2 linked regions of the Drosophila melanogaster genome follow. The protein of the gene in region 1 interacts with the protein of each later gene in a pairwise test. Each region holds a gene or a part of one and is shown on either strand. Other genes may lie near its edges.

Region 1 (5,566 bases):
TTCGAATCGTCTGGTTTGAACTGCTTTGAATTGATATAAAACCGGATAATTAATCTGGGATTAATTAAATGCCGTGTCAGCACACTCATTGCCGTAAATATTTATGAACAAATAAATCCTGAGCTGCACCGAAAGTTCTTTAATAGATACTTTTCCCAAATTATCGATATGTAACAGATATAATTGATAGTAACTATTGCAAATAGCTAAACTGTTTTTTACACCCGCCATTTGTGTGCCTATCACTTTGATAATAACTGCCATTGGTCCAACACCTTGGCGTTTCCATGTGGGTAATCATAGGAATTCGCAGTGTCGAGGCGGGGGAAAAGTCAAATGAAAATCGCTGCGGAATTAGCATGGAAGTGGGCAGTAGTTGCAACCGATACTCGGAATGGGCGGTAGGTCGGGAGGAATGTGGGGAAAGGCACGTTCCACTGGCAGTGCCGACGCCACAATTGAATTACTGTCGTTCGGAGACAAAAGGCAGCGACTTTCGATTAATTAATCTAATTGCCCGATGAATCAAATGGGCAAAAGTGCCCAACGACAGCGTGGGTCATAATTGAAAGTAGCTCCAATTATTTAAATACAAGAACCGCATATATGAAATTTACTTAGTTAGTTATCGGTGGTAGTGGTAGTAGTTGATCTAATCACTCACCGATGAACTGGTCTTCTGGCGTTCCCGAACTCGTCATCGCTGTCATCGTTGGCGAAATTGATGGCCTTATCCGGCGTATTGGCCGTTGTCGTCGGCGCCGTAGTGCCCGGCGTATCCGGAGTGGCCGGTGTGCCCAGGCTGGAGGTCGCATCGTCGGCTATCTGAAAAATTAGAATTTATATAGTCAAACAGATAGATTTCCTTTTTTGCTACACTACACAGATAGCTGGATTGATAGAGCAAACAGCAAGCGATTGTAACTGAAAAGTATGGCATTTTGGTTGGGCTATACCATACCATACCATTCATATACATATGGGTTCTGGGCTTTTGACACCTGCACTTGGGCAAGGTGAGTGCAATTAGCACAGAGGCGTTACCGCAGAGAATACCCAGTCAAGGTGTCTCCCGTACAATATAACGGCAAGCCCGGAAAAAATGGCATCGAATCGAATGGAGTACGTCATAAGCTACAAGCCACACTTAGTACCTGCCTTATCCTTATCCATAGCCGCACTGATATCGAGCACAACGGCGTTGTGTCTAACATTCGGTGCTGGGTGTTGCTGATCCTCGATGGGAACGCTCGAGAGGATGAATCGGCTGTTGGATGAGCTCATTGTGGACACTCAACGATTATACCGTGCAATACTTATGTTATCACAGCACTAAATTGTGGGTTTTCAATCAAACACTTCACTGAGTCACAGAATAGGTAAAACAAAAACAAATTGTTTATATTTAATTAGGATAGTCGTTGTTCTATTAGTTTGCTGTTAACTTTGATTGACCTAGTTCGCATCGCCGATATTTTCGAGTTGCCAAATAATTATAACCGATCCGAACGACGTTAGTGCCGCGATCGCACTGTTAACCGTTGATAATTGCTGGTTCGCTATTGCCTGAATATTGTTTTTGAAGCCTCAATTTATGCGTTTTAATCGCTTCGCTCTCGCAGCCTCTGCCGCAGTCGGCGTCGGCAGCGCTACGTTGAGTGAAAATATCGACACCCACACTCAGAACAATCATGAGCTAGTTGAGTCGGCTCGAAAGAGTGCGGAATTTGATTTTGATAGAATAATCCGGTAGTCGTAAATTAATTGCGGCTACCCTGATTGGCGACGTACTGCGGTCTTGGTATATTAGCCGTACTTCATGACGAATGGCCATAAATATGAATGCACTGCAAGTAATTTGAACAAACTGAATGCTAAATATTCCAATTTAAAATGAGCTTCGTTCCAAAATCAAATGTTATTTGAATAGCTTGAAATGAAACAGAGAGAATCTGTCTAATTAAATCGTCGTGGTGTGACATTTATGTCACCCTTTCAATATTTCTGTTCATTCCACATTTTCTCACCTCTCTTCGAAAATTTATATTTTGCCTGCCATCAAAGAAGTTGCGTTTCGCATTGCATACTTTTGGGCATATTGCTCACACTGACCACACTGCGTATGTGTTATATTCTCGCTATGTGACAGTTGATTGCTTGGTCACATCACACATACGCCTCGTTGGCCTGGCCACGCCCCCTCCGTCCGCCCGTCGGCTTGTTTGCAGCTCTATAATTAGCGCACGGCATTCGTCGCTACTTCCCGACACCAGTAATGAGTTTGAGTGTTTAACACATCGAAAATAATAGACAAAAATCTCCCACGGAAAAATATCGTATGCGCTAATAATTCAGATATTCTAGTTTGGAATTCACAGGGTTCGGAATAATGTAAATATTTGTGCGAAAGATCGGCAATCAATCATATTTTTTTTGCTTCGCGCTTACATGCGTCTTTGTTGAAATGAAAAAATACAAATAAAAAACATATACTTATATAATAAGTTTAAAGATTGAGTGGTTGCCTCAAACGGCAACTCGTTTTAATTTGTACCAAATTAAAGTGTTTTTAAATGATAATATTCTTGTTAGCATAAATGTTTATGCAAATGTCGAAAGCTATGAGTTCGTATTTGGAGCACGATGCATATATTAATGGGCATTTAATGTGATATACTAATATATTGAATGGACACTTTAGAAATATATTTTGTTTTTGGATTAGTGAATGTGCTAAATTAATGGTGCCCATTTGTACCGTAGGACCATCATGTGACTATTAACTGGATTTCGGGTTTTTGGTCACATGTTTATTGTTTGCCAACTTCATATAATTAAGGCACAATTAACGTTTGTATCTTTTTTTTTTTTGGGTAACTTTTCTGTAAATCGACGAGATTCGCCGAGCGCGAGGAAACAGACTAGAGGCGATGACGCCTCGCTTAATTACGCATTGTATTTTAATTTCGAATGGGGCTTAACTGCTCAACTGGTTTGCTGCAATTATATATTTCAAAAAAAGAAAAAAAAAATGGCAAAACGGCACTCTAAATACCCTCTAAAGGTAGCTCCTTTCCAAAGATTATGTACTTTACGAATGAATTAAACCTTTAATTTGTTTAATGTTTTATGTACATTTTCCACTTAAAATAGTTTTGTTTTAAAGCAACTGAGCGACCGAAGCGACTTGTCTTTCGAGGAATTTCTATGGATATAAACTGGGTCGTAAACTAATCTTTTTATGTACCTCCTACGCCAGATTCTTCATTTTACATTGGTACAAAATATTCACTGATGAATTCAATGCTGAATGCTAGATTTTTCTGATGAATTCAAATGAAAAGCGTGCAGTACTTACAATCTCCTCGTGCAGCGCATCTTGCGGCTGCATCTGATGTCGCAGACGCAGTGCCTCCAGATCCAGGGCATTAATGCCCGAGGGCATGGATATCGAATTGCGTCGGAGTCCCGGTGCAAAGGCCTCCGGCGACGGCGTCGCCGACTCCGGCTCCTTTTCGTTGACCATCTTCAAATGCGGTAGATCCACATTGCGTCGCTCGCTGAGAGATTGCTTCCTGGGCATGGCACCCAGTAGCTGGAGCTGCTCCTGCTCCTGCCCATGCTCCTCCAGTCGCTCATCTCCGTCCGTGTCCGCATCCGCGAAGGCCAACTCCGGATGCTGGCCGTTGAGCGCCTGCGCGGCTCCCGATTGCGATGGTTGAGCCATTTCACCGGCCGCTTCTCAGTTCCAGCGGCTGCGTTCCAAACGCGATCGCGTTCCACTGGCGAATGAAAAAAAGGGTTGAGCGCGGCAACCGGAACCCGAAATCGCCGGCGGAGCGAAAGAGAGCGCTGGGCGGCCGGACAGAGGGAGACGGGCAGTGAGCGGGCGGCTTCGATTGCCATCGCTGTTTGCCTTTAATCAGCGCTTATCATCGGTCGGCGATAATCGCACACACCGATCGAAAAAAAAAAAATGCTCAATCACAGTTGCACATACATATATATTATGGCTAAATTAATCAGTTAACAGTGTAAATGAAAAATATAGATATCAAAAACTTAAATCATCATGCTGAGCCCCAAATAATTGTGCTAGAATTTCGGTTTTTGAAATTCAAATCTTTCAGTGTATTTGTGATCCGGGTGCGCTGGTTACGCAGATATTGCTAATACGCCCCGTATACCGAACGTTAAAAGCTATTTGAACTCTGCGACTGTTGCCCCACTGAATGAGTTAATTAAGTTCGTTTTCTAGCCATAAGCCCACTTCGTGGATCGCATTTGTTTGCCTGGCTAATTAGGCGTAATCTCGCACCGACTCCCTTCTCGTCGCTCTCCGCAAAATTCTCGACCTTGTTTTAAAGCACCAAGTGTACACGAATAAAAAGTCAAACAAAATTTAATCAACTGGCAAAGTCAAGAGCCAAACTCGTTCGCCCGCCGATCCGATCATTTCGATCGAGCAGCGCCTTTCAATAATTACATGTGTTACCTGATAAGGTAAACCAAACCAACGCAGCCACCCACATCCAAACCCAAACCCAACCCCCCCATGGGCAAACTTCTCTCACCAAGTGCTCCGCAAATTGATAATCTAACGGTGCGGAATGCCACAACTAATTCGCAATATTGTTTAACAAATTGCACTCATAAATTGTCTAGAGTGCGCAAATATTTGACGATTGAACTATATTTATGATCATTGCCACGGGAAAGGGTAGAAGTGTGGATGGTACGGGTGTATCTAGATAAGGTAACCGCTTCTGGTTAAATATATAAATATCTCAATTTATATGTAATTTTAGTAATTAAATTGAAATAATTAGATTAATAATTACTCGATATATACATATTTTGTGTGGCCACCATAGCTTGTGGTCACTGTACCGCAGACGCAGCGTATGGAGGCAATCGGACTGAATCACATATTAGAGACGGTAATAAACCGATTTAGTGAAACACAAAAAAAACAGGCATAACCAAATTTACAGCTTCTGATAAACCCAGTACAGTGGGACTAATTGCTGAAATGTATTCAAAACTAAACAAATAACCTGTTGCGATGGCGATTCAATAGACACCTCGTTTGAGAATTAATAAACCCAGATGGCAGGTAAAACAAAATTATCATGCAATTCGCGATTCAAAGTCACCGCCAAAGTTGGTCAACTCTCGAATTATGTGTGAGTAATTTCAATAAGCCAATAAGTACGACTATTTTTGCCATGGCTATCCGATGACTACACTCAATTTGAAGTCTGCCAAAAAAGATACAACTATGTAATACAAACCACTAAATAAGAGAATATCTTAAGATCTTCCACATAATTCGATTCAAAACCACCGCATTCGCACAAGAAATGATTTGAGTAATTTTGAAAAGGGGAAAAATGCAATTTGCTTTTATTATGCTTGTTTTCGATAAATTTGTTAAATTTGTTCATTTAGTTTAGTTGTACACTTAAACGTTTTGATGAATCTTCCAGTTCACATACGCATTTATTTATTTTCAATTTTTCATCTAGCTTATGTTCGCCGAGCTGTGTTGTTGTCGTATTAAATG
Region 2 (5,553 bases), on another chromosome or scaffold:
AGTTTTTAAAGTTGCCCAAAGTCGAATCCTTTAATGCCTTGCCAGCATTTTTGCTGCAATCGATTATCCTTTCAATAAAATGCCGCGGAGGCGAGAAAAAAAAACTTTTACCCCCTCGAAATTTAACGCTTTCGCCCGCCGCATCCCCCTGACCCGAAAAATTGGGGATATCTTTTGAGGTTGATTTATGCGCTGGCTTAAAAGCGAATTGTTGTGAGCTGCTAACTGGAAATCTGTTTGACTGCACGTACTTGTTCTGGTTCTCCACACATAGCCCTCCACACTGAAATCTCCATCATCGACTTTCCGGGCTTAAACGATTGCCAAACAAAGTCAAAAGAGAACGTCGTGCATGCCGAAGGATTCGGAATCCTTTGCATTTGAGCTGCGCTTTTTTTTTCCGCCATGCTTCTTGGTATGCCGGTCCCGGCAACTCAAGGATTTCGCAGCTGTCCTGGTCACAGTCACTATCTGCTGCCCGGATTTGGCCAAAGTGATTTACGACATGCTCATGCCAGGCATTCAAAATGCGGTCTAATTGAGACTCCTTAGATGATTAATCCTTGGCTAATATGGCGAAATTCAACAAGTCTACGCCGCACATTTCCCATAAATTTATTTTTCTTTTTGCTGCCGATAACGCCTTTGATTAATTAACACACTCGAAGTTTTTTTATGTACCTCATGTGAGAAAAGGAAAAAAAATGAAAAGTGATGCATATGCTCTAATAAGTGAGCCCAACAACGAATTGAGATGTTATCACGATTTATTCGGCTTGTTTACTTTATAATACACTAACAGAAAAATTTCTGTTCGATGTTTTCGACATTTGTGTGGGATTGTTATAAGTATTTCACACGTTAGTATGCAAGTTTGTGAAATACAAGACTTAATAGGTTGTGTACAATTATCAATCTAAATTTATTACGCCACTTATTAAATTTTTTAAATTATTTTAGAACGTTTGTCACCCCGCACAAGTGTGAACCTTGAATTATGCTCATTGCAAAACAAACTACAACTGCTGCGATTTTTTGCATTCTTCTTGTGGTTTTAATTGCTACCTAGAGTTTTTAATTAACGCCCCCGATTTAGCTGTATGTATTTGTCGGAGGGAGAAGGCCAACATAATTTGCAGACTTTTGAGGGGCGGTGGGAGGACTTTGAACTGGGCGCAGGAAGTGGGGTGGAAATCCTTTGAATTGCGGTTGCCATGACAAACTCTTATTTCGCCCGGCATTCCGTTGTCTGGCTAATTCAACGTTTGTGCAGCATGCAAAATATTATAAAATTCCGCCAAATGTCGGAGGTACTTCCCCTCCAGCAAAAAGACGGGCAAAAAAAAAAAACGGAAACAAAAACTAATAAACGACAACAGGTGAGGCTGAAAGCTGACACGTGGCATCAACAACGCTGAGTAAGAATTCAAGGCGCATTTTTGGGAGGAGTGGACTTTCAGCAATAACTGTGGCCCAAGCGCCGGTTGCCAACGCGACCAGCTGTGGAGTATAGTTGAAGTTTTTCGAGGGGAATCGAGGTCTGTTTCGGCATCGATGATAGCCCGCCTATCGATAGGCGGCAGGACCTGTTATCGCCGAGGGCGCCAAAAAGTGCTATCGTTCGGGGCCACAAGCTCCCGAGTTCCCTCATTCGTTGGTCTGCATTGAGGGCGTGGTCTGGCCTACGCACAGCGAGTATAGCCGACCCGCTCTAGCAACCACTTGGCAGGGCAAGCGCGAACGAGTCAGCATGCTTGGCTCGACGGCAAGATGGCTGTGGGCTCAGCTAGCTGTCTCCTTTCCTCGCCCGCCCGGGGCACTGGCACGGTGTGTGCTCTTTGCGATTTTTGCAAATCAATGCGAGAGATAAGCCCGCTGGCAGAGATAACGCTTGACTTAACCGTCAATTGTGCGAGGGGGTGGCGATTGAATGCGGCGCCAGTGCGCAGTCGTTGTTGTCGAAGTTATCAGGTTTCGTAGTCAATTCGCTTTGATTTTTTCGCACTGCCCTCAAATGCAAGCGAGCAGCGCTACGTATACGGCGTACAGCTCCCATACGATACAATAGTGCGATCCGAAACAATTCGATCCGTTTCCGTTTGCTAGTGCCTAGAAAGCCGTCGCACTGGCAGAGACCATTAACCGAATTGATCTAACTGGGAAGTGCCAAGGAATAACTAAGTGAAAATGTGCCCGAAGTGTAAAAATGCTATCAATTAAACAGTAGAAAACAAGGACGAGTGACCACACCCGAAGGTGGAAGCAAGCCGTGTCCTCCGCCGGACAGTGTCCGGCTGTCAGTTGGTCAAACAGTTCATCAATAAACGATTCGACTTCCGTTTCATTGCGTGTCCCTAAGCTGTGCATGTCTGCGTGTCTGTGAGTGCGATTGTGTGTGTGTGCCAGCTGTGCGCGTGTGTGTGTGTGTGTGTGGGAGCTAAGGAAACTTTTCAACTTCCGGCCAAGTGACTTGGATTTAATTTCTTTGGCTTTTTTATGGTCAAGGCATTTAATTAATTTTACTATGGCAATTTGATCGTCTGCTGGCCTGAACTCTGACCCCAGCCCATAACCCTGTGGCATACACAAAAAGCAAGGAGGCGGAAAAAGGACGAGCGATAGGAGGAGCCAGGTGAGTCCTTGGCCAAATGAGCAATAAAACTCAATGCAAATGCCCACACAATCGAACTTCGGCAGAAGTTTCTGCGGTTAAGGAAAGTGAAACGGATTTAGTTTTCTGGTTAGTCGCACAATAGTTAAATTACCCAAATAGCTGGACATTTGACAGGGGTCAAAGTTCAAGAGAGGGCTGGGCCAAATATTCACAACACACGAGCAATTAGTATACTTAAATGTTTTGCCAAGACAAAAATCAAACATTCATTTATGATTCCAGAAATCTTGATACATTGTAAGCAGTTTTATTGCATATGATTGTATACTATAAACATAAACAAAAACTTTGCTAAACAAGTTAATGACCATTTTCTCTTGTCAATTTAAAAACTTTTAGTATTGAAAATTAACAAGTACTTCCAAAAAAGCACAAAGTCACCTATGTATGTTTATATTTGCGTTGAGCAGAAGCCACCCATCCAAAAATAACAAATCTGTTTACTTGCAGCCACACCCATTTCCACCGAACAATTGAGATGTAATTTGCACCGCAGGTGAACTTCAACTCCAACGTTCTGTGATAGACGAGTATACGAGCAGGAACTCCCATTGGGATTCCGCCACCACCAGTCGATATCGATTCCCGATTCAATCAAATTGGATCCCGAATCCTAACTTTCGGAGCAGCAATCAGAAACAGCGACAAACTGTCGACTCTGTCGATCCGCAATTTCTCGGCAAACATGCTGAACAATCTTGGGGCCAATGTGCTGGGTAAGTTACGCCCCCAATCCTCGATAGCGTTTTAAGTGCGGGCTGCGGGCGGGAGCTGCGTATAATGTTGCAATTAAGATCGCCAAGTGAATTGCGCTAATGTATAATAATGTGTGTATTAATCCATGGCATACGATCCGCCTGGCCATAATTAAACTAATTTCTTGAGCACACCCACAAAAGATCGGAGGGGTAGTTAGTCGTACTTCCGATCTGGCGATTGCCATCGCATCTCCCATGTCTGCTAAATGGCCTATAATTGAGACGTCTAACCAGATGGCGCCAGGTGTCGCGTGCATTTAGCAATAATTAAGTTGTGTATTTAACTAACTCGGCAAACCTTCTCCGATTCCCATTCCCATATGCCTATGCCCATTCCGAATCGAGTGTGGGTGGGTGTGTTTGTGTTAATTGATATAATTGCTCTTTTAAATATGCCGCAAATTGTGAATTACATTCACACATTCACCCGGCGCACGCACATAATTATCAAACTGTACTTGTGTCCTCATATTAATATATTAATAATTCCGAATACACATATGTACATATGTATGTGCGTGTGTGCAGGTGAATAAATTATTTTTACCACACTGTTGATCAACGATTCAAGCACTTTCAATTTTGGCAATCAATTTGTTGTTAGCCGTCCAACACTACCAGAAAATACAGTTTGCAAGTGCATTTGCAACTGCAACTGCAGCAGCCATGGATGAGTTATGGCTCGCGTTTATATTCAATTTTTATTGCCAGCATCCTTGCGTCCTTCGAAGCGTTGCCATTAATTACTTTTATTAATTTATTGCCATTTTTCACGCGCCAATTGTCGCCGCTCGGTGCACGCGGCGTATGCGTAATGTCCATAGTTGCCATTGAAGATGGGTGTTTAATTAAGGGCTAGCAAGCGAAACTGATCTGACGGTTTGCTATCTGCCATGGATTGCGACTGCCAAAGTTGGCTTTTAAAGTTTTCGCCGGCTTCAACTTTAGCCAGCTCCATTTGCCCACGAAGAACTATAAATTTCAATGAATCGCAGTGCGGAATCCTTTGGACAAATCCTGCCCGCAGTGCTGGAGTCTGCCATAATAAATTTCGTGAGCCTTTTTCCGAGTTTCGCACAACAGAGAGGCCAAAAAACATTTGCATACTGGGTGCGTGGCCGAGAGGGGCAAAAGTGGATGCCCCCCTAACCACCCCTTTACAATTAAGAGCAATTTGCATGCAAAAGAAATGGCAGAACTTTCCCCGGATTCGTATTGTCTCTCCCCTACTAATGCTTAATTTGCATGCAGCGAAAGGAGCTCGAATGGCGTTTCGTTTGGGCGCTTTTTTCGTGAGCCTCGCATTAATTAAATTAATTTCATGATTGCATTTGTAATTTGCACAGACCCCCTTCAGGTTTACCCCCACCCGTCCGTTGCATCCACGAAATATCTGCGCGTGCTTCGCTTTGTGCGTTCGGCATTTTTGCGGTGGCCTAGGCTAGTGAAATATGTGTGCTTAACCCCGCTGAACACCGCTTAACCCCCCACTGCCATATCCGCTTTGCATTGAAATGTTTTGCGGTTGCTGCGGATTCTGTTCCCAGTTGCGGTTAGTTGTTGGAGCAGCCCAGATTCCATGCCATGCCATGCCATGCCATGCCATTCCATTCCATTTCAAACCAAACCGAATCGGAGCGATCTGCATCGTAGTTTGCCAACTCGAGGCCCAAAGGCCAAAGCCTATGTCCTGCTAAAAACCGCACAATTTCCAAATTTCAATAATTATGCACATTGCTGAATGCACATGCAACTGACGGCGAATCTGGATGCAAGTGCTCGGCCATGAAAGTCCGTTTCTGGCCATTCGGCTGGCCATTCCGGCCAGGTCCATATATTTTGCGGGAGAAATCGCGTCGTTCGCTCCCAAAAACAGGCAAACTGATTTGCGCAAATTGTGCAAATTGCTTGCGCGATAAATTCATGTTTGCCAATTTTAATTAATTAATCGCTTTGTGCGGTTTTCATTTCGTTTCGCTCCTCTTTCTCGCCGGACCAACTAAAATGTTCGCTTCGGGCCAGATGTAAATCTACGTATCTGCGTCCTGTGTATCTGTGTTGCCACTGCAATGTTTACAGTTTCGTATTAACACTATCGCAATTTTGGCCAGGTAGCAAATG

The links. Proteins that work in one complex are often made in the same cells at the same time.
Region 2: the proteins of CG33080 (region 1) and otp interact in a two-hybrid assay, tested with the Drosophila melanogaster proteins (one large-scale study listed by BioGRID).

The regions. Positions count from the first base shown.
Region 1 is NC_004354.4:5,713,988-5,719,553, forward strand, and holds the start of CG33080 (uncharacterized protein), read right to left. Parts: upstream 3,792-5,566; 5' UTR 3,728-3,791; coding exon 3,359-3,727; intron 1,486-3,358; exon of another isoform or gene 1,285-1,485; coding exon of another isoform or gene 1,159-1,284; intron 826-1,158; coding exon 665-825; intron 1-664.
Region 2 is NT_033778.4:20,899,865-20,905,417, reverse strand, and holds the start of otp (orthopedia), read left to right. Parts: upstream 1-2,003; 5' UTR 2,004-2,632; intron 2,633-3,124; 5' UTR 3,125-3,359; coding exon 3,360-3,390; intron 3,391-5,553. UniProt on the Drosophila melanogaster protein: May be involved in the development of the central nervous system.